3 linked regions of the Arabidopsis thaliana genome follow. The protein of the gene in region 1 interacts with the protein of each later gene in a pairwise test. Each region holds a gene or a part of one and is shown in the gene's direction. Other genes may lie near its edges.

What was found.
Region 2: the proteins of AT4G05400 (region 1) and DECOY interact in a two-hybrid assay, tested with the Arabidopsis thaliana proteins (one large-scale study listed by BioGRID).
Region 3: the proteins of AT4G05400 (region 1) and AT1G27020 interact in a two-hybrid assay, tested with the Arabidopsis thaliana proteins (one large-scale study listed by BioGRID).

Annotation. Positions count from the first base shown.
Region 1 is NC_003075.7:2,739,521-2,745,679, forward strand, and holds AT4G05400 (copper ion binding protein), read left to right. Parts: upstream 1-1,639; 5' UTR 1,640-1,735; coding exon 1,736-2,488; 3' UTR 2,489-2,501; intron 2,502-2,637; 3' UTR 2,638-2,679; intron 2,680-2,825; exon of another isoform or gene 2,826-3,221; 3' UTR 3,222-3,429; downstream 3,430-6,159. Other genes in the region: RFNR1 (root FNR 1), read right to left, coding at 1-120, 234-569, 801-854, 937-963; YAO (Transducin/WD40 repeat-like superfamily protein), read right to left, coding at 3,709-3,786, 3,901-3,966, 4,091-4,260, 4,403-4,604, 4,702-4,926, 5,019-5,361, 5,571-6,001.
Region 2 is NC_003070.9:5,010,526-5,021,501, reverse strand, and holds DECOY (decoy), read left to right. Parts: upstream 1-4,793; 5' UTR 4,794-5,000; coding exon 5,001-5,161; intron 5,162-5,390; coding exon 5,391-5,456; intron 5,457-5,805; coding exon 5,806-5,880; intron 5,881-5,975; coding exon 5,976-6,105; intron 6,106-6,199; coding exon 6,200-6,325; intron 6,326-6,410; coding exon 6,411-6,554; 3' UTR 6,555-6,827; downstream 6,828-10,976. Other genes in the region: AT1G14630 (XRI1-like protein), read right to left, coding at 57-328, 578-670, 831-882, 991-1,175, 1,429-1,507; TWN2 (valyl-tRNA synthetase / valine-tRNA ligase (VALRS)), read left to right, coding at 7,016-7,150, 7,270-7,335, 7,847-7,909, 8,036-8,214, 8,296-8,368, 8,541-8,606, 8,687-8,770, 8,902-8,979 and 7 more.
Region 3 is NC_003070.9:9,373,842-9,385,051, forward strand, and holds AT1G27020 (plant/protein), read left to right. Parts: upstream 1-4,562; 5' UTR 4,563-4,793; coding exon 4,794-4,832; intron 4,833-4,909; coding exon 4,910-5,062; intron 5,063-5,495; coding exon 5,496-5,714; intron 5,715-5,804; coding exon 5,805-5,920; intron 5,921-6,016; coding exon 6,017-6,180; intron 6,181-6,271; coding exon 6,272-6,426; intron 6,427-6,497; coding exon 6,498-6,578; 3' UTR 6,579-6,949; downstream 6,950-11,210. Other genes in the region: AT1G27000 (GRIP/coiled-coil protein, putative (DUF1664)), read left to right, coding at 227-281, 387-448, 534-611, 691-766, 864-934, 1,047-1,148, 1,239-1,328, 1,456-1,530 and 5 more; AT1G27008 (uncharacterized protein), read right to left, coding at 2,947-3,057, 3,227-3,403; AT1G27030 (uncharacterized protein), read left to right, coding at 8,001-8,039, 8,116-8,268, 8,360-8,578, 8,667-8,782, 9,259-9,422, 9,530-9,684, 9,785-9,871.

The DNA of each region.
Region 1 (6,159 bases):
AATAGCTCGACGGACACATAGACTAGCTGTTTTGCCATCAAAAGAATCTCCATACCGTGTTGATGCAATCGAATAAAGGCGAACGTTATGAGGTGCACCAGGTTTCTTGGGATTCTCACCCTACGAGTCAAGAATAGAGCACATATAATCAGATATGTTACCAAATCTGAGAGACCAAATCATTTATCAGCAAAAGGCAATGCGTTATGAGCAATAGAGTTAAAATCACTTACAGGAGGAATGACTCCATAGCTTTGTCCTTCCCAGTAAGGAACATTACCATCATGATCAATAACAATGTGGCAAGTCTCTCCAGGTGCTTGTGGACCAACAATTCTCTCAACCGAAACAATAGTTGCAGTATAAGGCTCCTTAGGCCTAAACAAGTTTAAGGGAGTCTCTTTGGGATCTTCAAGTTCTAGAGGAGTAACCAAGACTTTGGATTTGCTTGATTGCTGAAGTGACATGCATATTGTGGACCTTTTTTTCACACCTAAGCTTCTAGATTTCGAATCTAGTCTCAGCAGAGGAGGACCCCATGACTTATCAGTGAAGCTTATACTTTGAACCTGAGGTACAAAATAATTGAGATTCAATATCATTGCTCAAGAGTTGCAAAATCCAGTTTTTTGTAATCTTCTACTTGTAAAGACTATACCTTTCAATACCAAATTCACAACAAGTCTACATCAGAACTAAACAACACAATAAGAAAACCAAAAGACAAAAACTTTGAGGACCATGTAATCATCTCAACGACAAAGATCGGTAATCTAGTGATCTAGATCGTTTTTGCTCACCTTAATCATAGATCGGCTCGACCCATCAATTCTAGTTGGAAGTGCAACGGACATCTAAAATCAAAAACCAAACTTTCATTAAATCCGAAACTTAATCTCAGGAACCAAAAAGGTTTAGAATGGTAAAAATGAAAACCTGAGAAGGAGTAGTTGAGAGAGCCATAGCAATGGAGAAAAGAGACGATAATTCTCCAGATGAATATTAATAATTGATCTCACAATCGAGAGGAAAAAAATGATTTGAGGAACAAAAGAAACAGAGGATGATTCTGGGTTTATAGTAAGAAGGTGAGGGGAAGAAGAAGATCCTTTCAAGGCCCAGAAGAGACAACAACAGAGCAGCCCATACTGACTGCAAATTTCTCAACTTTTTTTTGGCTCTCGAGAGATCTTAGTGGACAAATTGCTTTTTGTCTGTGTTGGATCTTCTTTACTTTTCACCACGTTCTTTGTATTTTACTTGTATTTGGTACTTGGAGGTTACAGTTTCCAAAGCCAAATTCGTTGTTAATAGTGAGAAATTTAACAAGTTGCATGAGACTGAATTCAGCAAATTTCTTCTCAGTTCTGGAAAAGTAAAATCGAATTTGTTTTCAGAAAGAAGCTTCGGTTATGTGGTGGTAAGCCGAAACAATAACCAAAAATTAAATCGAATTGAACCAAATCAATTCAAAATTAACGTCGGTTCTCATTCGGTATACAAAGAAATGGAAAACCGAACCAAGAAACCAAATTGGAGTTTTCTAAAAGACAAGAAAACCCTCGGTTTAAGCTGAATTTACAGTTTTGTGACATCGTGATTTATTTAACTTGATGTAAAACGACGTCGTTAGTTCAGTGTTCTTCTTCCACAGTCGAGAGTCGAAAACCCTAATCTCTGTACTCAAGCAACATTTTCAGACGAAAGCAATCAGAAACTCAGGTGAATCAGAAGCATGATTCGAGTTACGAAACCAAAAGCGATCATCGAATCACTGAGTTACCATCTTATCCAAAGATGCTCCGCAAGTGGAACTCCTAAAGGAAAAGCAAAGCTGAAGACAGGTCAGCCATTGAAGCGTAACAAACTCTCCATCAAGAAAGGTGGTGGCGGCGGCGGAGCACCTGTTGAAGGAGAGGAAGCAGTTAAAGGAAAAGGTAGAATTTCCGATGAGAAGCAGAAACTCTACGAGCAATGCTTAAACGCTCCTTGTCCTGTTCGCTACTTGACCCCCCAAGAGATCGAGCGTGAGGCGCAACGTGAGAAGCTAGGTTTGATTAGTAAAGAGAAGCAACGAGATATGGAGATCCAGAAGAAAGGAGGAGCTGCTTCAATGGGAGTCACCGATGAGCCGATGCGAATTGGGACGCCAGGTTTGGATTACATTTCGTTAGGGATTTTTGAAGCTGAGGAATTGCCTAAGTATAAGCTTACGGAAGAAGATGGAGAGAGACTTGCGAAGGAGTATAGTAAAGTGTTGATGAGAGAGCATAGAGAGCGTCGTGCAGCTGAAACTGCGCTTTTGAATTTGAAGAAATCTGCTATTGAGGCATTGCCGGAGAATCTGAAGAAGGCGGCGTTAGAGCCTGATTTGACACCGTTTCCGGCGAATCGAGGTATGGCTACTCTTACACCGCCTATTGAAGGGTATCTTGAGAAGGTTATGGATGCAGCTAAGAAGAGTTCAAGTAAAGAGAAGTTGAGATGATTTCGTTTAAAAGGTTAGAGATTTTGTCTTATCTCTTGCTTTTGCTTTGGAGATGAGCTTTGAATGCTTGTGTTTCGAACAATGGAATGATTCAGGATTTAAGAATGATGGTTAGTAGTTTACTGAGTCTTGGGTTTACTTTGTTGTAGAAAGTGTCTGAAATAAAGAGAAGTTGAGATGAGTCAATAAAGGTTAGAGATTTTTGTCTTATGCTTATCGTTTTCTCTTGTTTCTGATTTGGATATGAGATTTAACAGTTTGTTTTTCGAACAATGGAATGATTCAGGGTTTAGGATTGATGGTTGGTAGTATTGATCTCTGATGTCAAAGCTGTGTTCTTGGGTTTACTTTGTTGTAGAAAATATCTCAAAACTGATGGTTAGCTAGATTTCAGGTAGTATGATACTTATTGGTTAGTTTGAGATCGAGTTATATGCATATTAGCAAATAAGTGAATGAGAATCACTCACTTGTACATGAGTTAGTGTTTGCAATGTTAAAATGGAAACTTTTGGAAGCATGACCTTCCTCTGGAACTTCTCTGCATATAGGCTCGAGTCTTTGGATTATTATGTATCATTTTCGTTTTTTTTGCAGGATATGTTCTTGTTTAGTTATTCTTTCAATGCTGTTTGCATTTTTCTTGTTTCAAGTCTTCATTTTGTGGTATTCTATGTATGTTTTGGATATTTGGAACTTTCTTATCAATTCTCTGCTGGTTTTTCTTATCCAGTTGAAGCTATTAGTCAGAATGGAGCAGCAACGAGACCAAGAGACATCAAGAAATTGTCTCTAGGGATTCTAAGCTTGACTTAAGAGAATTCATTCAAGTAGTAGGCTCTTGTCTTTTTTGTTTGGAAAAGCAATCTTCTTTTCGCCGGATAAATTACGATCAAGTCTGTGTTCACTATGGATCTTGGTTTAATAATTTGCCTTTTCATATACTTATCTTCAACATTTGGGAAAACGAAACAAAAAGCTTTACTGAGAGAATGAAAAAATTGGGAACTGTTATCCTCTTTGATTCTTCAGAGCCTCAAAATGATAAGTTCTTATCTCTCGTATTAAGAAAAAATGGTACAAGGAACAAACAAAAAAGGGAGCAAAAACTTCAAGAGCTACAAGGAAATGTAATCCCTATATGACTTGCGATTAGATCTTTGGCTTTTTAGCAACTCAAAACTATCCATAACAACGCTTCATTTATCCCAATGAAATACTTATGCCAGTCTTAAGGGATGTATTGCGACACCATTTTGCGCAGATTTTAAGCATCCCCATCTTCCAAATCGAGTTTCCTGCCATGTCGATTTCACAAAACACGATCAGTTTTGAGATTAGCAATCACACAGACAAGAGGACAAAGATAGAAAAAAAGAAGAGGGAAGAGAACATAAGAGATGATCACATACCTGTCCAACACCGGCAATCAGAAATTTACCCGATTTTGCAAAAGCCAAAGAGTTGACAAATCCAGTCTGTAAGATCAAACAAGGCATTGCAAGGATTATTACTTGGTGAAGTGAAATGCATTAATCACAGTCACAAACAACAGATTCATCAGACAACACTAAGGAATATAACTAGTGAACGAAAATTTACCAGTGGAAGCTCGTACAAAGGTCGAATTGCATTAGTTTCAACAGCCCACAAACGCACAAAACCATTACCAGCTCCAGATGCAGCAAGATCACTGCCTCTACTAGTAGCAACTGCATTGACCCAAGAATTTGCTGAACAGTTATTGTTGACTGGTTCATGATCACCGTTTTCTGTTAAGCAAATAAATAAGAATTAGATATTTCAGAGCATCAGTAGCTGCAACGAAACAAAAGTGTTTTATAACTATATACTGCAATGTCAAGATCCAACTGCAACAGAGATGAAATGGGGAGGATCTAAATTAGGTTTCACCTAAGATTCCATTGGTGGTAATCCCATCAGGTATATCTTGATGTGCATTCTTGAAAACGAACACCGGTTTCTTTTTTAACATGCCCCAAAGAGCAACAGTTCCATTATCCGAACCAGACAGGTACTCATTATCACTGATGAAACAGCAGCTCTCAAGAGACGATGCAGGAGCTCGATAGATCATACGGGTGCTCTCAGGCACCTATAATCATATAACAAGACTTACAAATACAGAATAATAATAGAAACCTTATGATGATATCTTCCAACAGTGTTTACATGGAGGATAGAACTATTACCTTATGATACAGCATGGTTCTATCTCTTCCAACCGTAAGTGCACGCTCCTTCCTCAGTGCATCAATGGCTAGAATTTCACCCTGGTGTCCATGATTTTCAGTTATAAATGCTTTATCTTCTACGTTCCACACCTTCACAGTTCTATCAAATGAACCAGAATAGAGTTCTGAAGTTCCGTATCTGAAACATAGACAAGAAACTGTGTTCCGGTGACCTGGAAAGGCCTGTAGACACATAATTGTAATACCTGAGCGCAAGACTTGATGAAGAACAAATAAAAAAAACACTAAACAAAAACCAAATTTATTATCATTACCTGGACATGCTCTCGGGTACGAACATCCCAAATATGAACATGACGGTCAACTCCTCCAGTGGCCAAATAACGACCATCAGAGCTAACAGCTAAAGCAAGAGATTCTCTACTGTGATTTTTGTTACGAGGCTCCCTCAATTTCATCCCATGCGACTTGAGAATTTCATCACTTGGCCATATGTATTTGTCAGTTTTACCAGAAGATACATCCCAATGCATAATAGTACCATCTTTTGAAGCTGAAAATCCTCTAGAATCGTCATCCGATAAAGCTACCGACACAACAGATCGTCGGTGCTTGACAATAACACTAAACCCATCAGTACTTAGTGGCTCCTGAACCCTGAATCATTGAAAAACTTTAATCAATACTACTATCAACCAATCTTCAAAGATATCAAATTGACCTAAGAAATGTACAAAATCACTAAGTTTCTTCACAATTAAACCAGCTCCCTAAAACACTAACTACCCACAAACCCTAAATTACCAACAATCTCAAACCTAAACTATCTAATTTGAATACATTGAGGTACTAAATTTCTTCCTTACCTCGATGCAATAAGTCTTCGAATCCTACCACTATCCTCCTGCTGCTTCTGCATCAAACTCTTCTTAATAGTCTCATCGTCATCTTCATCATCATCATCATCATTATCCGCTTCCTCACGCTCTCTCCTCATCGCTTCCCTCCTTCTATTCAGCATCTCCTCCGCCAATCTCTTCCGCTTCTCTCCCGCCGTCTCATCAGCAAACTCATCTTCATCCTCCACTTCCCCATCAACTCTTCTCCCATCTTCATCTCCGCCAGTAAATCCGTTCTCTTCCGCATCAGAGTCCACAGACTCGATATCGTCGTCATCGTAACTGACTTTTCTCCGTTTCTTCGGCTCTTCCTCAAAAAATGGATCCCTTTCATTCGAACCCTTTTTACCTCCTCTCTTAAAGCTTCCTCCTTTCTTCTTCTCGTTGTTGTACTTCATTCTTCTCTCTCTCACTCCCTCTTAGGGTTTAACGATTTTACACTTTGACTCGTCTAGGTTTAGCCTCAGGGTTTAGTGGCGACGGAAGAAGCTGGAAAACGATTTTGTTTATTTGGTCGGAAAGTTTACAACTTTAAACCTTCCACTAGGTTTTCTTC
Region 2 (10,976 bases), on another chromosome or scaffold:
GTACATATTATAACGACCCCCCTCTAATAGCCAATATTAATTACATATATGATATATCATCCCTTAGTTCTTATAATAGTAATTGTGCCCCTCCCTAATGTTTGTATCTTCGTGAATGCAACCACGGCTTTGCCTGATAGACCCGGTCCATCTGCAGAGACACACGGACGACATGCAAAGTCTCCAACCGGATGTCGAACCGGCCTAGCCGATGGCATTAAAATCCTCTTATTAATGTCATTTAGAGTTATATCTTCTTCTCGACCACCTGGTTTTACCACTCCAAATGGATACACCACCCTCTTCTTCTCGTCATAGTCATTCTTTTCTGTAATGCACAAGTGTTACGTCAGTGTTTATTCGGGATCGGACTTTGTGTTTAAAATGCTTTGCATGTGATTAGAAACACATAATTTTATTAATATTAAATATTTTATAAACGCAAAACGCAAATGAATAAAAGTGAAATTTCATGATTGATTTGTTTAATTATAGCTACTGTGGACAATTACGCATAAACAAAAACGAAAAAGTCCCATATAATTCACTACTTCGGAAGAAAATACAATATGCTTACTTGACGTGGACGAGGATGGTTCGAAAGAGTTTCTCGACGAAATTGAGGATTTTTCTTCAGAACATATATTGATGGAAGAATTTGGAGATTCGTCTGTTTAAATATAAGAAAATTATTCACAAAGATTATTCAATTAACTTACTATTTATATTAAAACAGCACTAATGTATTGATCATTTATATGTTAATAGTATTAAATAATAAATATGCCTCAAAAAAATATGGGTGATAATAATAAAGAAGTAGGTCTCACCTGCAAACTGACTACTCGTGCAACTATAATTCTCAGACAGACCCCAATGATTCTGCATTATTATATTCCGCGATCAACTAAATCAGTTTCATAACAAATGAAAAATACGGAATAATTACGTAAATGACAAACCAAAAAACAGAGTAGTAATTATATAAACCTGAGAATGGTCTAAATCGTTATCTGGTTTGTCCTCGGCGCCGTTGAACGAGAGACGTCTCCGTTTGCTTCTCCCACTGAATTCAATGAGTGCGTCTTCAAGGTATCCGGTGGAAACGTCCCCGATTTCCATCTCCGGTGAACAGAATATATTCTCCGGCGATTCATCAATGAGCCCCCATGCATCTACAAGTACATTGCATGGCCAAATTCCTCACATTATGTGTGTGTATAGAAAAAAAAAAGTATATATATATATATATATATATATATATCTTTAATGAAATTTTCTTGAATTACTAGCACAAATTAAATACATTCATCTTACAACGAAAATATACTTTTTCTTTGTTTGCACGAATCCACCAGCAAACTTAACATAAATCATTCTATAAATATACATAAAAGAACTGTAATATAAAATCGTTGTTGTCTATACCTAGATTGAAGTTTTGGTTGAAGAGTGATCCAAGGTTATGGAGATCCCAAGAGGGGAGAGAGTATGAAAGCTCACTCATATTTTTTTTAATGATTTGTGGATTGACTGTGAATGTGTTGAATTAAGGTGAGACCATGTGGCTGCCTATATATCTTGGTGGGTTGTGAGTAAAAAGTTAAAATAAATTGAAATTAATCCAAATAAAGCATGAAAATGGAAAAGAAAAAGGGGAAAACAAGTTAAAGCAGAGAAGAAATTTGGAAGGAGAAAAATCAGTACTCAATACAGTCAACTATAAAGAAAAGATAATTACACTAATGGTTGGACAGTCTCTGCCCATCAGGATTTATTTCATACAAAATAATACTATCAATTTTAGTGGTTATTTGTGACATGGTGAAATGACCATTTTTAACTGCATTTCTTACTAAGAAAATAAGTTTTCAATATGATTTGTGACTCCACCATTACAATAATTTAAGGTAAACAACAACTTAAATTGTGAACGATATTGAAATGCAGTCTGATTAACGAATCTCTCATTCGTGTTGTAAATTAATTTGTTATTCAACAAGAGTGTTAATACTTTTTCTTACAATACATATATGATGAGGTGTATAAATACAAACTATATGTCAATGAGAAATGAATTGATATTGACCAATGTGTAAAACAAAAATGGAACAAATGTAAACTAGGTTTTGAAATTTGAGTGGGGTTAGGTAATGGGGGACTGAATAATGGCTAAAGGCGATGAAACTATCATCATGATGTCTTTGTTCTAATGCTGCTCATGCATGTTACTCATGGAAGAGAGAGAAAGTGGTACTGTGGTAGATGCATGATATATCACTTGATTAATTAGTCGTGTTATGTATATAAGTATATTAGTACAACAAATATATGAATTTTTGTTTATTTTGTGGTTTGTATATCTACTACATGAATCATAAATTTTCAATCATATATATGAATATGATGGGTTTAATATGCGTAACCTACTTATCGCCAATTGCAATATTGTCCTTCCACTTAGAATTAGCTGATAGTGAATATATATATATATACACTTGAAAAACATGATTAGGACAAAAACGGGTTTAGTTGTTTAACTATCATAAAACGTAAAAACAAATGTCGTTTAAACCTATCAGTGCTATATATAATGATTTATAGTTACAATTTAGATAAGTGAAATGCGAAACTATGTAATCCTATATTCAACCATATTCTGCTTAAAATACAAAATTCTACATAGAATCTATGTAATCTGTATTGATGTGAAACGTTTAACATAAATACAACGACGAGATGCACCGGTTTGGTAAGATGGGTTATCAAAGTCATGCATGTTGACAAAATAAATGAATTCAGAGATACACATAAGAGAGGATTTCAAATTTGCAGCTTTATCTCTGTATGTATTATTCTTCAAAGCAAAATTTGCTTTCTGATTTGGTGAACAACCTGTTCTTCTATTATTAGGTACTTTTTTCCTTAGACTTATATACTTTCATTTCTTCTCCATCGTGGGGTCATGTCATATCCTGTCACGTTTACTCCATCATTACTTACCTTTTATTTCAATTTTTGTTATTTCTAAGGACGAGATAATATAGCACAACGCAAGCATAATTACTAAACACGACTTAAAACTTGATAAGAAATTTAGAGATTATCATTACTTACCTAAGATTCTTGAAGTTAATTGGATCGAACAAGTACACAGTATGACTTACTTAGCATTTGTTGACAACAAAAAGAGAAAATAACTTTGCGTTTGTATTAATGGGACAAAAAAATAGATTACTTGTCACCGAGTAAGAATGCTTTTTCTCGATTGTAATGCATATAGCCGGCATACGGATTTTCAGTGGGGTCGAGTGTAGGCATGCCGGAGGGACCCATTTGGAAATTTAGAAAGATTGCAACCGTATCATCTGTGGGTCTCTTCTTTAAATTCGAGTTTGAATGGTCCCAAATATATATATTGGTCAAATTTTATGATTGCAAATTTGCATTTACTTGGTTTTCTTGACGGTTGTCCCTAGAATTGAGAAATAATGAGTTGATATTTAATATTTTGGAAAATAATTACACACGTATCGGAGTTGTGATTTAGATATAATATCCAAAAGTTTCGCAAGTTTTATGGATCAAATAACAACTTTTGTATTCGATCATGTAGTAAGTTTTTTTTTGTTTGTTAATAGTTTCCAACTATATGTTTATTCAACAAGACTACCAATTGTAAGCTAACCACATTGGTCATCATCGAACTACTTGTCTCAAATTTTTAATGAAACGTTATAGATGTTAGTTGGTATTTAGAAATAGTTGATTTTGTAAAACCATAAATTATTTATTTTCATACGTAGCATTGAAAACGTTACCAATACGATATCCAATATTTAGTATGTATAATTTTCAAAATTTCAAACCATATGACTGATCCATGATCGAATCCTCTTTATATTTTTTTCATGGGTCCGAGTAGATTTTTAATATCTCATGTTGGAGAATCCTGAGATTATTTTAAACAAGAACCATTTACGACAAAAAACAGAACCATTTAGTGGGGGTAGATTTTAGGTAAGATTTTATAATACCATCAACCAAAAGAATTATGACGGATAAACAAACTGCTATCACTTAATTGAATCCTCTTGTTAATTATATATATAGACAGATTAGGAGAATTATGTTATTACCAAAGCTGTGCTATATTTGTCTTTGCATGTGTTGTTCATTGGACGGTTCACGATCGCCGATCGGTAATCATGGTGAATCAAACGGTGATGATTGAAGCACAGGTTTGGCCTCGGTCGGAGATTTTGTCTCTTGCTATTATTTGGACCCATTGCTTCTTCTTTGTTTTTGCTTTATTAATAATCTATTCGGACCACACACACAAAAAAAAAGTCAAGTCCACACAACATACTTTAACCAAAAACACAGATGCTTCGATTTAAAAAGAATCGATAAGAGAGTGTTGTCACGGACCATTCTTCTGCATAGTCCGAGACATGTCGCGTTGTTTTCCCAAGACTTTACGTAGATTGATAAGTTTATGGTTCAGTAAAGTGTATGTATTAAGTGATAAACTAAAGTTTTATGTTTTGATGTATGAGTCGAAATAATGTTACAATTTCTTCATCAGATTCAGCTATGTAACTTTGCCCAAAAATAAAATAAAAAAATTCAGCTATGTATAACACAGATTTTATACCAGTATCTTAAATATTTATTTTCCGATGAAATATATGTGTAGTTAATTTTCTTAAAGGTAATCTAAATATCTATTACTTTTTTTGTCAACACCGTAATTACATGAACGAACCAAATTTTCATCTATCCGAATGCATAGCAAACCGGATTCTGGTTTGGTTATGTAATCCAATTTTAATTAGATCAAACCGGATTCTGGTTATGTAAACCAATAATTTTTCGATTCCGTCGAAATTGTTTTACCTGAAAGGGGATTTGGAAAAACCCTCTCACTCTCAGGCTCAAGCGCCGGCGTTCACTCTCTAACCAAACTCGATTTCGTTTCTGGGTTGTGAGATTGAGAAATGCCGAGATCATCTTTGCGGCTACTAGCTAAGCCTCTCTTGGAGAGCAGGCGAGGGTTTTGCACGAGCTCTGATAAGATCGTAGCTTCGGTGCTTTTCGAGAGATTGCGCGTTGTGATACCCAAACCGGATCCTGCCGTTTACGCTTTCCAGGAGTTCAAGTAAGCTCTCTCATCGCTTTGCTTGTGTTCTGTTTTTTCTTTGGTTGAGGAATGGTGAGATTTTGAGAGAAAATGGGGGGAAAAGTATAGTTGTGTGATTCAAAGACTGCTTTTTTATGTTGCGGAATGAATAAGATTTGAGTCATTGAGCACCGAAATTTTGATTTTACTCTCTGGTTCATTTTGATTTTGATCACGTTTTGGTCTTGATTTTGTTGCTCTATGGCAGATTCAATTGGCAACAGCAGTTTCGTCGTAGATATCCCGATGAGTTCTTAGACATTGCTAAGAACAGGTAAAAGTTTCTGTTTTTCTCAATCTTCTTTTGATATCATCATGTGTCCAAGCATATAATCTGCTCGAAGGTTTCTTCTGCATTCAACTTTGTGTCATCCTTGTTAGTTATTATGACAATAGCAAAGAATGTTAGATTGGGAGTTTTTCCGAGTAGCTCCGTGAGTTATTGTTGCTCAATTCTTCAGCAGAATTACCTTGCCTGAAGTGAACTATATTAGAAGTGTTACATGCTCATAGATATATAGTGAAGGTTCTGTATAGGTCAGTTTCATTTTTCTCCAAGTGCGGTGAAGCTTCTATGAAAATTTCATTTCGTCTTTGGTTAATCTTATGATACGTGAATACAGAGCCAAGGGTGAATACCAAATGGACTATGTACCTGCTCCTAGAATTACAGAGGCTGACAAGAATAACGATAGGAAGTAAGTTGTTGGCACCTCTTAAAGCTTCCTGGCCTGTTGTATTTCTCTTCGGTTGATGATTGATAGTTACTTTTGGGAAAATGCTGCTATTATAGGTCATTATATAGAGCCCTAGACAAAAAGTTGTATCTTCTCATATTCGGCAAGCCATTTGGAGCTACTAGTGACAAACCTGTTTGGCACTTCCCAGAGAAAGTCTATGATTCTGAGCCAACTCTTCGCAAGGTGTTTGTTTGATTTGATGCCTCTATTTCAACACACAAGACCATAAAATTTCATTCATGTGCTTATTGTTAATATGTAAATTCGGTATTTGCAGTGCGCGGAATCTGCTTTGAAGTCAGTCGTAGGAGACCTCACTCACACATACTTTGTTGGAAATGCTCCAATGGCTCACATGGCCATACAACCTACAGAAGAAATGCCTGATTTGCCATCTTACAAGGCAAGAACGAACGTTAACGGGGTTTTACTAGTATTAGTAATTTCAGAAGCTCAAGATTTCTAAACTGAATTTTGTTGTTGTGTAGAGGTTCTTCTTCAAATGCAGTGTAGTAGCAGCATCGAAATACGACATAAGCAACTGCGAGGATTTTGTGTGGGTAACCAAAGACGAGCTCTTGGAATTCTTCCCTGAGCAAGCTGAATTCTTCAACAAGATGATCATTAGCTGAGCCACTCACACCACAAAAACTCCTATTTTCATCCCTTCTTCTCCATCAATGTCATCTCTCTGGTATTAGACAGTGTGAGAAGGTCAATGTAATAACCAAACAAAACCATGTCTCTGGTTGTGACGTGAAGGAAATTTTTGTTGACAGTTGATCTGAAGTACGTAGTTGAATGTAGTTGTGGCTTCTTTCTCAACCTTTTTTTATACATCTCTCCGATAGATATTATATTACGTATCTTGATAAGAAATCACACACTCGTTGATTCGAGAACAGCTTGAAATATATATTGAGTATTGACCGTCGTAATTCCAAGCCCACTGGGCTTAAAACGAAATACCCAACTTGTAACCCAAATCTCTAATTTTTTCCGGTTTAATTTCTAATTTTTAAAATTAAAAATGTTTTTTGTATAGTGTTAAAAAAAAGGAGCATTTCAATTAGCCCTAGCAGGTTTTTTGTCTATGTCACTACTCTTCCTAAGAAGAGCCAAGCCGTTATTTGTATCTTGTTGTTCAGCTACTCATTCTCGCTCCAGCTTCTTATCTCCGACGCTTACGAATCAGCTAGTTCGTTCGTTTCACGGTTCCAGAACAATGGTACGATTTTGTAATCACCGATTGTTTGTTTCTCCGTTAGGATTACCCACCGGATTTCGAAATTCTGCTGCTATTTGTTTAAGTCTGAGAATTGAATGTTTGTTTTCTGAATTTCGTAGTCGGAATCAGAGAAGAAGATCCTGACAGAGGAGGAGCTTGAGCGGAAAAAGAAGAAGGAAGAGAAGGTTTGACTTGTGATTTTTTTCCCCATTTTTCTCAGAAACGTTTTCTGGAGTCGATTCAACGTGGTTGTGCTGTTCTCTTTGAGCTTGATTTTAACAATTTTGATATCTAGAATCTCATAGACGAGTGTGATTGAGTTTATTGTTCAATCATGGGACTAGCTAATAGAGATTGGATAGTGATAACTATGGATTACCCATTTGGAAAATGGAACTGATGAGATCGTATTGTTATTTTTAAGATAGAAAAGTTTGAGAAACCGTCTTCACTATATCAGAATGAAGAAGTGTTCTACATTTAATAGTTTGAGTACTTGGCACAAATTCGTATAATCATAGTTTGTGTTTCTTTTGGTGTTGTTTTAGAGTTGTATACTTTTGAATACGCCTTACATTTCATTTTTCTTTGTGTGGTGGGAGTTAGTTTTAAGTAAAATATTGACTCAATTTTGATTTTTTCAATCTCATTAATTTCATTATATTTTGTTCGAATTCAATTGTAATTTATTCATAGGCTAAAGAAAAGGAGTTGAAGAAGCAAAAAGCTTTGGAGAAAGAGAGGCTGGCTGAACTGAAGGTAAGCTCTGAGGAACTCCAATTATTCATTTCGGGTTCCTGCTTCATATGTATGTGTAATGTGCCAGCCAAATCCTTAATTTTCCCTGTAACTTGAAATATTTATCATGGTGTGCTTCTCGTGTAGGCAAAACAGGCCAAAGATGGAACTAATGTCCCTAAAAAGAGCGCAAAGAAGAGTTCCAAACGGGATGCGTCAGAAGAGAATCCTGAGGATTTTGTGGACCCTGAAACTCCTCTTGGAGAGAGGAAAAGGCTTTCTTCACAGATGGCCAAACAATACAGCCCTGCTACCGTGGAGAAATCGTAAGTGTGTAGATCTTTTTCTTTGACATTTATCCCAAGAAGTTCCTCTAGATAATCTCTGTTATTCTGTAATTGGGTCAGATGGTATGCTTGGTGGGAGAAATCTGACCTTTTTAAGGCGGATGCTAAGAGTTCCAAGCCACCTTTTGTAATTGTAAGGCCTAATCCGATTCTTAAATTCATGCTCGTTCTGGATTCGACCTTCTTTTTATTGTCTTCTCGAATACTTAATTTGTGAAAACCAAATTGAGTTGAGAAAATCTTGAGCTTCTGAAATTATTAATACTATTTTTAAAGTTTCTTTAATCCTTTGATTGATTCTGCAGGTTCTTCCTCCTCCAAATGTGACTGGAGCCTTGCATATTGGCCATGCGCTTACATCTGCAATTGAGGTTTCATTAGCATATTGTTTGGTGCTATAGCTGTCTATTGTTCCTCCCGATGATCAACGGCTTAATACTTGTTGATGCAGGATACAATTATTCGTTGGAAGAGAATGTCTGGGTATAATGCTTTGTGGGTACCCGGGGTTGACCATGCTGGTATAGCTACACAGGTGAGCCCCAATCTCATCTCCCATATTAGTTGAAGTTTCAGCCTATAGAGTGAATCCTCGTTGGGCTACAGGCTTGTAGCTTTATCTTATACACATTGTATATTTTTTTTTTACTTGGATGTACATTCTAGGTGGTGGTCGAGAAAAAGATCATGCGTGATAGAGGCATGACTAGGCATGATGTTGGCCGTGAAGAATTCGTAAAGGAAGTGAGTTGAAAATTTAAAATATGTTGATGAATAGTTTCCTTTTTTCATTATACAAAAATTCTTGTTTTGCTTGTGATCATGGAAAAGGTGTGGAAGTGGAAGAACCAGTACGGCGGTACAATTCTAACACAGCTACGGCGACTAGGAGCTTCTCTCGACTGGTCTCGTGAGGTAATATCCAGTAATTTGACCTTTCTTGGATAAATGTTATAGAAAATTGGCTGTTTTATTTATTTCGCCACTAGGTGAACATATATGTAAATGATATTTTTTATCTTCACTTGTGTCCCTGGGCTATCCATCTTACGGATGTGTTTCGGCCTGTAAATTTATAGTGTTTTACAATGGACGAGCAAAGATCAAAAGCTGTCACTGAGGCCTTTGTACGGTTATACAAAGAAGGGCTTATATATAGGTATGTTTAAGTCTGACTTTGTTCTTTGATGCAAGCTATAGAATTCCTGTAGATGGAAACAGTAATATACCGAAATTAGGATTATAGGACCATTTTACCTTTTTCAGTTATCTTGTTGTAAGAAAGAACATTTGACTGAAGGTATACCATGGCTTCTGCAGGGATATTCGGCTTGTTAATTGGGATTGTATTTTGAGAACAGCCATATCTGATGTTGAGGTAAGTCAGCAGCAACTGTTAGACTAAGATTGTTGGAGGGCATCCTGTTTATGTGGAGTGTCTAATATCTGTAGGTTGAGTATATCGACATTAAAGAAAAAACGCTACTAAAAGTTCCTGGCTATGAGAAGCCAGTAGAATTTGGTCTTCTTACCTCGTTTGCTTACCCTCTGGAGGGAGGCTTGGGAGAGGTAATTGTTGCCACTACCAGGGTGGAAACGATGCTTGGGGATACTGCTATTGCTATTCATCCTGATGATGCAAGATACAAGCATCTTCATGGGAAATTTGCTGTGCACCCATTTAATGGGCGGAAGTTACCTATTATCTGTGATGGAATACTTGTTGATCCAAATTTTGGTACTGGTTGTGTTAAGGTATACCTCTACCTTATATATTTGATGCTGGGTTTCTGCCCCTATTAGTTGTGTTTCTTGTGTCAAAGTTACTTAATTCTTATTTTGTAGATTACTCCTGCCCATGATCCCAATGACTGTGAGGTTGGAAAGCGCCACAAGCTGGAATTTATAAATATATTCACAGATGATGGAAAAATCAACACAAATGGTGGGTCTGACTTCGCAGGGATGCCACGCTTTGCAGCTCGTGAGGCAGTTGTTGAAGCTCTGCAGAAGCAGGTAACTTTCTCTAACTCTTCACATAACATATATAATTTTTCTTTGATTGTTGGTTTGAGAATTTTTGTTACACTATGGGTAGTTGCTTGTAAGTGTCTTGTAGATTTTAACTGTTTTGTCAATATATTATTCAGGGGCTGTACAGAGGTGCCAAAAACAATGAAATGAGGCTTGGACTTTGCTCAAGAACTAATGATGTTATTGAGCCTATGATAAAGCCTCAATGGTACGTTAACTGCAGCATGATTGGAAAGGAGGCTCTTGATGTTGCTATCACTGATGAAAACAAGAAACTCGAGTTTGTACCAAAGCAGTACACAGCAGAATGGAGAAGGTTTCTTTCATTTATCTTTTACTCTATAATGGTTTCTTAATCTACCCCATCTATAGAAGCTCTTACAGCACAGCTGTATGGATAAGCTGCGATGGCGGTTTAAGATGTCATTACACCATCTATTAACAATCTTTACCTTACAGATGGCTAGAGAACATACGTGACTGGTGTATTTCAAGACAGCTTTGGTGGGGACACAGAATACCAGCATGGTATGCCACTCTAGAGGAGGATCAGCTCAAGGAGGTTGGTGCATACAGTGACCATTGGGTTGTTGCTAGAACTGAGGACGATGCTCGAGAAGAGGCTGCTCAGAAATTTTTGGGGAAGAAGTTTGAACTCACTCGAGATCCTGATGTACTTGATACATGGTTTTCTTCTGGGCTCTTTC
Region 3 (11,210 bases), on another chromosome or scaffold:
TTCAAGTCAATCACCGGCGATGTGGCTTTTCTCGCCGCGAGTTGAGGCGGTTGAAATTGAGTTTCGAGACGACGTCGTTTCCAAGTAAATTGCACTAGCACGTTTAAAAAAAAAATGCAATAAGAAAAATAAACCATGAGTTCGTCTTCTTAATACCTAAATTAAATTCGATTTTTGAGACAAAGCTCGACAAGTCGTCGGCGGCGGTGTAAAAATAGTCGGAGCTATGGCGATGCAGGCCGGAGTTGGCTTATCCAGGATCTTTCTCTTAGCCGGAGCAGGTACTTCACTTTGATTTCTCTGCTCAATCTAACTCGCTCGTTTACTTACTGCTAATTGGGATCTGTATATCCTCCTGATACGTTTTTCGATTTGATGGAATCAAGGTTACACTGGTACGATCATGATGAAGAATGGAAAATTGTCGGATTTGTTGGGTGAATTGCAGGTACTTTTTTGATTCTATGCATTTTTTTTTTTGTTTCTCTCCTTGATTTTTTTATTTTTGACTAATTGATTTGTGCTTTCGATAGAGTTTGGTGAAGGGAATGGAGAAATCTGGAGAAGGGTCTGAGGGAGATTCTGATGTTTCTGATGCTATAGCTGCACAGGTACATAAACTCATATTCATTGGATATAGGAATATTGGTGAGGGATGGTATTGATATCTTTTGCAATATTGGTGAGAAGGTTCGCCGGTTGGCTATGGAGATTCGACAGCTAGCTTCGCAGCAACACATAACGGTCATGAATGGAGTTTCTGGTGGTATGTGAAGATTAGGGATTTGTATTTCTACTCAAATAGTTTTGCTAAGTGTGTCTCTGTGTGTGTGTGTGTTCATCAGACTCTCTTGTTTTTTCAGCAAACCTACAAGCCCTTGCTGTTCCTGCTGCGGCATTGGGAGCTCTCGGATATGGTTATATGTGGTGGAAGGTGGGATTACTAAGTTTTCAATCTCTTCTCTTGTGAATTCTGCTGTTTTGTTGAAAAGAGATTTCAGTGTTGTAAGGGAACTAAAAACTGTTTGTGATTGTTCACTGATTAGGGACTCTCATTCACTGACCTTATGTATGTGACAAAAGCCAACATGGCTGCTGCAGTGGCTAACTTGACAAAGAATCTGGAGCAAGTTTCTGAGACTCTTGCGGTGAGTTTTTTTTGTTGCTTTGTGTATGGTGTTTCTGGTGATATATTAAGCTGCAGGGTTAAAATTGGATCTTAATTGGTTGATTGTCAGGCTGCGAAAAGGCATTTAACACAAAGGATTCAGAATCTGGATGATAAGGTAGAAAAGCAGATCGATCTCTCGAAGGAAATCAATAGCCAGGTATGATAATGATGATGTTTACCTTCTCTTTAGTTCCTATGATTAGAGCTATTGGCTTTCATTGTTATGCATCTGTAGTGTCTTGAACAGTTTTGGAACGTGATGTGGTTGTGGTTATGCTACACAGGTTATTTCTGCTCGTGAGAATATCAGCTCACTTGAGATGGATTTGGAATCATTGCATAATTTGATTACTGGACTGGTGAGTCTTAGTTTTATTTTGTTATGCCATATATAAGCAATGCTGAATATCAATAGTTTTCTTCTCTTTCACACTCAATTGGCATGTGCTTTACTGCATCTGTCATGATTAAGGCGATTGCAGCTGTGAATCATTCAGTCTTTAAGATTAGATAAGGAATCAGAATCCTTCTCTATGGCATTTCACTCCTTTTAGTATATCTCCTAATTATTTTGGCATTTAACCTTGTTTTGCAGGATGGGAAGTTGGACACGCTGGAATACAAGCAGGTACATTCATCTTTTATGTTCTATTAAGCAGGCATCATTACCCAGAGAATCACCAACAATTGGTAACTCAGTACTGATTCTAATTCTGTTTCTGGTGGCAGGATGTCACAAATGTTTTCATGCTAAACTTGTATAACTATTTTGGAGGCAAGAGCACAAAGCTGCCTGAAATGGTAATTCAGATATGGGATATGTAAAATCGAATTGATCTCCCTATTTCTCTCCATAGTTATGACTATGTCTATTTTTGGTGTTAAAACCTAAAAGTGTTCTAATCCCTTTTTCTTTAATATCTATAACTTTTGCAGTGCAAATATATTGTATAGTTGTTTATCTTACAAAGCAATTAACTTAATCTTACAGGAACAGCTTCAGCTTCCTGTAAACCAGAGGGCTCGTAATTTGCTTGCAGATGTTGAAACTAAGGTGTCTTTTCTGTTTTATTTATTTAAGAAGTCACGTTTGCTTGTATTTAACGTGATTGTTCGCACTATTCTAACAAAATAAATGGAAACTTCTTCTCTTGCTGATAACAATATTTCGTCCAATCTGTTTCAGGGTCTGAAAAACTTGGCTGAAGAGCTGTTTAAAAGCAATGGCACACAGGTGACAACCACAGTGAAACAAATCAGTTTGAGTAAAGTGAATGTGAAGTCGAGGCCATTGTTATCAAGGTTTGGTCACTTTGCTTCACTGTCTCTGTCTTGTGAGTTTCATATGTTGATATAATAGAGGTGTGATAAAGGAAATGTGAATGCAGGGCTGCTTCAGCTAAGTGTTGATATGGAAGTTTTCCTGATGGCGGTTTGGCTTGCGGGATGTATATAACAAAACTCTTACTTATACAAATGGTCTCGTGAGCCGTAGAATGCTCTCTTACATCTATTCGTTGGTTTGGCTTTTTTCCCCCAAAACTTGGGTCTTATGATATTTTGGTTTGCACTTTGGAGGTTTTTCCTCGAATTGGAGTTTGTTTATTGACATGTGTAGTGTCCACTTTTGAACTTTGACGCAATTTAAAATAAAGTACATGTGGGGAATAATTATATTATACCTAATCATGTGATGCATGTTTGCAATAAAAGTGGTTAATAGGTTAAAAGTTTATGGTGTTTCCATAGATGTATGTACAGAGTTAAATAATCAACTATTTCTGGATCAATACATTTAAAAGAGGGTGATAAATAACTGGGATGCCGCGACATGACGGGCAAGTGGAGCATAACTGAAACCACTTGTCAATGCAAAAAGCGTGGAACTGATGTCCACAATGTGGCAACACTCTCACAATGTCACTAACCATGTAATCCTCAAGACATATCACACATCTACTATTACATAACCTCACACCACATTCCTGCGAGAATGTTAATTTCGGGAGAGACTTCAAAATCTCCTTCTTCAAGGGTTTTGTTTTCTGCCTAAACCTGCAGTTGCAGTAGTGGAATAGAGACGGTGTAAACGATCATTCCGATTAAGAGATAGAGTGGTAATGAATCTGGTGACTTCAAGAAACCAACGATGGTCAGGTCAGGGTCATTAGGCAAATCTGCTGCTACGGCGGCTGCAGGGGAAATAGCGAAGGGAGAAGGAGGGGATGTCATGAGTGTAAGAGTCCTCGAAGAGATTTGCTGAAAGAAGCTTCCGACGAAGAGAAGATTACGATGTTATCAGGGCGTACGTATGTATGTGTGTTTGACCTTTTCTTGTTACAGTCTAAAATACCTTAGATTATTGAGAATTATGTATAGTTTATATTTCTTAATGGCGAATGCATACATTCTTTGTTTATGGATTTTTTTTTATAGGAGTTTACTTCCAATACCAATTTGAAGAAGGAATTGTGTATATTCCTATTCATTGAGGGAAAAACAATGTATTATTTTTATACATATTAGGATCATGCATAAAATTGTGTATTTGAATTACGTTAACTCTCTATTGACCATTGTTGAGTAGAGTGACACCAATAGAGAATTTTCTTTTTCATTTAAAACCTCTCTTCTTAATGTTATCTTCTTTTGAGTCCTTGTTCTCATTAACTTTGTTTTTCTTAAGCAAATTATAAATTATTTTTTCTTTTATTATAAAACGACGTCTATTATATTCTATAAGGAAGCCAAACCAACACAAGTCTAAGAATGTTTTGTTTGTACGCAGAAAAATGTTAGACTACAGTTTTATTATTCATAATTCATAGTACTAAAGTAATTTTTTGAAGAATGATTTTCTTTAATAAGGTATCATCAACATATACTACCAAAAATATTTAATTTATCCCACTAATTTTGAAGGCATCACGATTAATAATACGTGCTTAAAATCTTAATTCCGTAATAATGCTACACTTTTGAGAAATTTGTTAAGTTTATGATAGTTTGTATGATAGCCATCTTTTGACTGATCTAGTCGGACATAACCAAACACCCATTTACTGTTATTATCATCTGGAAACCCAATGAGAAGATAAGAGTTTTATGAAGCACACAAGTGAGAAACAAAAATAAGGAACATATTTGGTTGGATCTATCATTAAACCAAAGATAGATAAGAGGGAAACGAAACTGGAGTAATAATCAAAATACAATCTACCATGTAGATAGGGAAAATACTCGGTGGTTTTAGTTGAAAAATGTAAATAGTTGAAAGTTATCAAAATTTTCTAATATTTAAACACCAAAGTTGACCAAGATGGCAAAAAGGCAAGAAACAAGAAAATGAAAGACAACTATCGTTATGATACAAATTTGACCAAAATGAAGATATGATAATGTTTCCAAAATTCTCGATGCAAGTAGTTCGCTCAATTATTTGATAAGAATGATTTCCCCACTAGCTCAATAAAAAACAATTAATCCTTGTACGCAAGTTATCATAGTGAAGCATTGACACTGTGACCCTTGGCATTATAAATTACGAATTTAAGATAAAGAAGAGAAGAATCAAGCAAAAGTTGTGTTTCTCATAAAGATCTCAAAGATATTCCTACTACACATGGGTTCTCTTGACTTGCCTTACGCTTCATCGTTCAAGGTTTTTTTCTCAGTTTATATTTATAAAAATCAAATGAATTACTCATCACTATAACACACTAATTATGTTGTTATCAGGGAGGAAGTGAAACCTTTCTCCAGAATGTATTTGAAAGTATACTGAAAACGTATTTGAGGAAGAACCCGATGGCGAAGACGATATGGGAACTAGTTAAGTCGGTGGACAACGAAAAGATCTCTTACGACCACTTCTTTTTCAGGACATTTAAGGTATGAATTTACTCTTCAAAAATTTGGTGAAATTGTGTGCAGGAGGATCTAAAACCTTAACAAATTGGTCAAATATATTGATTAGCAAGTTCTTTGCAAATACGATTATAGTAAATCTACCTATTTAACAATTAAAAAAGTGGTTTTATACTTTTAATTGATGCCTTTGCAAATATATACTTTTCTTCAAGCTCATCTTGTAATCCTTGAGATCTTCTAACATTAACGGCATCAATTAAAAGTATAAGCGCTAAATGGTTTTAATTTTATACTTTTATGTCAGCAATTTTTGAGACCTGTTTTTTCTATTTTACCAGTGTATTTGTTAGTGGGCTCAAATTTTTTAATTTTTCTTTAGGCCCGAAATACTTGGGGCCGGCCTGATTGTATAAATTGATTTTTTCTTTTTTGCTTTGGGGGTGTATGGGTTTAGGTCGATGGTTATGGAATTGATTCCCTGGCGAGTTTTTTCATGGATTATGGATATAAAGTTGGAGGCAGACTTGATTTTCCAAAGAAGAAAGTACAAGTTCTCTGGCTTTCTCCTCCGGATGTTCACTTCCCCGATAATGGTTACGGTATTGGCAATGGCCCTTTGCCAAGACTTGTTATAGCTGAGCTTCTTGTGGAGGAACTAAGCCCTGAGTCACAGGTATTAGTGATCACAAACATAATGTTGTTATAATGAGTCTTTAATAATACATAATAACTTTTTTGTTGGTCCTAATTTCTGGTTAACTAGGAGATAATAAGGAAGTATTTGAAACCGGAAGGTGGTAAGCAAGCTGTTCTTTCAAGTACTTTGGGGTCTTTAATTTGGGAGAAGCCAACATCCACCGATTTCAATCAACTTGCCAAGTATATGTTCTAAGTTTATAATCAATAATCACACAGTATCTTTGATGGTTAGCTAATTTAATTTTTGAGTTTTGTAAATTTTTATAAATGATGAAGAGAAAGCGAATTTGCCGCATGGACGCTTGTCTACGGCTACACAATGAACCATCTTGCTTTCGCGGTTCATCGTCTTAAACACCGTTTCAGCGACATCAAATGCGTCAAAGAGTATTTTGAAGAAAACGGTTTCGAACTCAACAAGGATGGAGGAGTCCTCAAAGGTTTTCTTTACTTATTCTTCACATGACATCTTTCATTTAGATTGGTTCTATTCTATAACCATTATTTAAGTTGTATGGAAAAATATTTCAGTGAGTGAAGACAGTCTACTGTTACAAGTGTCGGCTATGTCGGAGAAACTTGTGGTTGAATTTGCAGACGGAGTAACTCAAATCGTCCCGGCTTCATACATTGAGTTCGTTGAACGTCTAGTTCTTCCACAGTTCAAAGATATGCCGTGTGATGAGGTAAGAAGCAATTCACATTAATCGAATTCTTTTATAATTAGACATTTTTATATATTTCCGTTGTAATGCAGATCAAAGAGTTTCATAGACGCGAGGGCTTGGAGCAAGCTAGCGCCTACCACATAATGGAAAGCACCCGTTTCACAGCGTAAATATAGAACCAGCTTGTTTTGTTCCGCTCAATATGTCAAGTATGTGTACGTACTATTAAAATGTTTTGTATCTTATTTGGACAATTTGTGTGTGAGATATTTCTGTTCTTGTGTTGTGAAGTGACGGTATAACTTAATATTACCCGTTACCGACGAATAATGGAAAACAAAGTGTCATGGTGGGGTGTGGTATTTGTGGTGTTTTTGCATGTAATATCTTTTGATAGTAACGTGACACTTGATTTTGGTGACTCGTAACACCTCTTGGGGTTGAAGACCAACGTGCCCAATCTTTCATTTACCTTAGTGTCTTCTTCTTTTTGCATTATTGGATTTTGGTGTTTCACGTAGAGAAACTGACATCACATTGTCTTTTGTTAGTTTTTTTTTGTGTTGTTAACCTTAAGTGTTTTTACGTAGTTAATATATCTTAGAGAACTTAACCTTTTCATTTAGCTATTATTCGTTTATAATTATAGTTTGGATCTAAATTAGTCTAACAGTTGTATTATGTGTTTTAGACCATCGCATTCCTCGATCTTAACCAAATATCTTAACAATTATTTACAATAAAATTTTGAAACATGACATGTAACTGTTTTTTCACTCATAAAAACCTCTTAGCTAAGAAGCAAGTCTTTAATTTTTAATTTGTTTTGATTTATTTTTCAGAATTTAATTTTAAGATATTAGTCTAAGATACATTTAAGATACATCATTGAAGATGGTCTACTAATTAGTAGCTTAGCAATTTCCAAAGTTGGTTTAAGGATCAACTTTTTGTATCATTTTATATTAGTGATCAAAATAGTTACATACCAAAAATTATTTATTTCATTTAATATAGTTTTTACCCCCCACTAGCTCTGGAAAAGTCCAATTATATTCTTGTCGTTAGCAATCATTGATCCTTGGCTTTTTTTCCCACTCTTTCTAGCTGTATAAAATACGAATTTACGATAAGATATTAGAAAAACCAAACAAAGCTGTGTTTCTCTCGTACACTTAAAGCATCGTCCCGCAACGGTTCTCTTGACTTGCCAAACGTTTCATAATTAAATTTTTTCTCTAATTATGATTTACAAAAACAAAAATCACGATAATCCATGATCTAACTATAAGAGGGAGTAAGAGAAACATTTCACTTGGTTTTTCTTACTGAGTACTGATATAAATAAATATAGAATCAGACAAAGATTCGTTTGCTGAACGATTTTATATAAATTTAGTCCTTACCTGCGCAGCTAATCATCGTGAGCGGAGCGACTATGCGTCAAGAAAAAAAAACTAAAATACTAATAATTAAGTGACTCCTTCTCTCTCCTTTTTTTTGGGGTATGCACCAACCTTTATTTATAAGTATAAGCAAGAATAAATAAGAACAACAAAGCAAACGGCTCATTTCTCAGAAACAACTCAAACATGGGTTCCTTCGACTTGCCTCACAGTTCATCGTTCAAGGTTCTTTCTCAAATTTATATTTTTTTTGAAGGAGAAATATCTTTTGTTACGATAATACACAATCTGCATCTAACAGGGAGAAAGTGAAATATTTCTTCGGAATGTGTTCGAGAATATATTGAAAACGTACCTAAGGAAGAACCCGACGGCGAAGACAATATGGGAACTGGTTCAGTCGTTGGACAACGAAAAGATCTGCTACGACCACTTCACTTTCAGGACACTAAAGGTAATAATTTTACTCTTCAAGATTTGGTGAAACTAATTGTTTAAATTATTATTTTGTTTTTACTTTTTTTTCTTTGGGGTTATGAGTTTAGGTCGATGGTTATGGAATAGACTCCTTGTCGAGTTTTTTCATGGCTTATGGATATAAAATTGGTGGTGGACTTGATTTTCCCAAGAAGAAACTACGAGTTCTTTGGTTTTCTCCACCTGATGTTCACGTTCCTAATGATGGTCACGGTCTAGGCAACGGCCCTTTGCCGCGACTTGTTATAGCTGAGGTTCTTGTGGACGAACTAAGCCCTGAATCACAGGTATATATGTTGATCGCAGACACAAAAATTTCATTATGAGTTTTTAACATATCTAATTTCGCTTTTGTTGGTCCTATATATTGATTAGGGGATAATAAGGAAGTATTTGAAACAAGAAGGTGGCAAGCAAGCGGTTCTTTCTAGTACTTTGGGGTCTTTAATATGGGAGAAGCCTACATGGACCGACTTCAAGCAGCTTGCCAAGTATATATATTAACTTTCAATTAATAGTCATATATCTTTACTTGATAAATTTCAGAAAAGTAATTCATTCTATCAAAATCTAACAGCTAGCTAATTGTAAATACATTAATTTATTTTAAATAAATAAAAATGAATACTCTTACACGAACTATACTGTATTACTCTACTAGTACATATTTAGTAACTAACTATTTATTAAATAAGATTTTGGGTGATAGGTTCGATGGTATTAAGGACAAGTTTTGATGAACAAGTACAAAAAAATGGTAGTTTCTAACAAAGCTTTGAGAAATTGATAGATCAGCACTTAAACAGAAAAAAAAATGATAGATGAACACTATTTTTTTCTGAAATGTTTATAAAAAAAGAAGAAGAAGTAAGAATTGAGTTTTGTTTTTGTTTTTAAATTTTTTTATTTTATAACTATTTTAATGGTTAGAGCTAATTATTTGGAATTGTATGTATGAATGATGCAGAGAAAGCGAATTTGCGGCATGGACGCTTATCCACGGCTACACAATGAATCATCTTGCTTTTGCGGTTCATCGATTCAAACATCGTTTCAGTGACATCAAATTCGTCAAACAGCGTCTTGAGGAAAAGGGATTCAAACTCAACAGTGACGGAGAAATCCTCAAAGGTTTTTTAATACTTATATTCCCATCATGAGTTACTTTCTTGAAACGTTTCTATTTAAATATGTTGTTCAATAGAAATGATTAATGAATGTGGACATACATATTGCAGTGAGTCAAGATGGTCTACTATTTCAAGTTTCATCGATCTCGGAAAGGCTTCCGGTAACATTTGCAGATGGAGTAACTGAAACAATCCCAGCTTCATACATTGAATTCACTCAGCGTCAAGTTCTTCCAGAGTTCAAAGATGTGCCGCTTGATGAGGTAATTGATGTAAGAAAGAATCGCGAAATAAATGATTTGCATTTTTTCGCATTATTTTGTTTATTCAGAATTTTTTTCATTGCCATGCACTGTGATGCAGATCAAAGAATTTCATAGACGTGAAGCTTTTGAACTCGATAACGCCAACCACGTAATGGAAAGCACCCGTTTCACAACTAAATTCTAGAACCAGACTTGTCTTGCTCGACTTAGTATATGCCAAATTTGTGCAACTATATATGTGAGTGTGTGTTTGTGTGCAATCTTTCCATATATATGCATGTGTGTATTTGCGATATCTTTATGTTGTTATTTTACTGTGAAGGGACAATGTAAGCATATGTTATCTCTCATGATGGTAATTGTTGATTAGAGTGACCAACTTGTAAAATGGATCACATGATTGACGAATCATGGGAAATAAAATGTATTTTGTGATTGAAATATGTGATATTTGTGAAGTTTTCGTCTCTCTCTTAAAATAATTTTTATGGGTGTGATTGAGTGTATGTTTGCTATAAATAGGGGATTTACTTGGACAATTTTAAAACATTAACCCATATTTGTTAGTATACAAGTTTTTAGTATCTTGTAGAGATATGGTATAACTGTTTTTTTTGCAGCTATAAGATGCACTAGATTTTAACTCGCGGTACACCGTGGGGACAATTTATTTTTTAAAGTTAGTATATATAAAAATTTATAAATTGTATCTATCTATAAAATATTTTTATTTTATAGTTTACAACTGTTATTAAGTAACGTCCTGCCAAACCCGTCCCGCAAAACCCATCCTGCAAAAAAAACTATTTATTTTATTAATGTTGATCTTATTTATGAATCATTGTCTAAATATTTTAGTCGATGCGGGATGTTGAACCCACACATTTTTCGCCAATTGGTTAATATATGTTCATTTTTAAAATTTTGAATCACAAAATATGACGGAATTTTTTTTGAGATTTTTTAAACTATATATTATATAATGATGTTAAATTTTTTGATATATTAAACTTTTTATAAGTTTAAATATTAATAATGTTTTATAAAGTTTAAATATATAAATAATAATATTTAAAAAAATATATATTTTTTGCCTTTTAGGTAATGACATAATAACTCTAAAAGCAAATATTTAGAAGATTTAAATCGTTAATTAAATATTTTTATTTCTAAATAATTAATGTCAATAGCATGACATTGTAAATAAGTTCAAATACAAGATTTATTTATTTAAACAAAAAACGTTTAATAAGAATAATATTTATTTAAACAAAAAATTTTGTTTTAAAATATTGTTAACAAATACGTTTATGCTAATTTTAAGGGATTAATGTGAAGTTTGTTTGGATTAAATTTGATTGATAATGTGATTGACAATTTAAATTAAGAATTTAAAGTAAAATTAATTATATTGGAAAACAATTAATGCTAATGGCATTGGGTTGTAAATAAGTCCAACTCTAAGATTTATTTGTTAAAATGGCTGCAAAAATGTATATATAGATGTTATATTATATCACCTT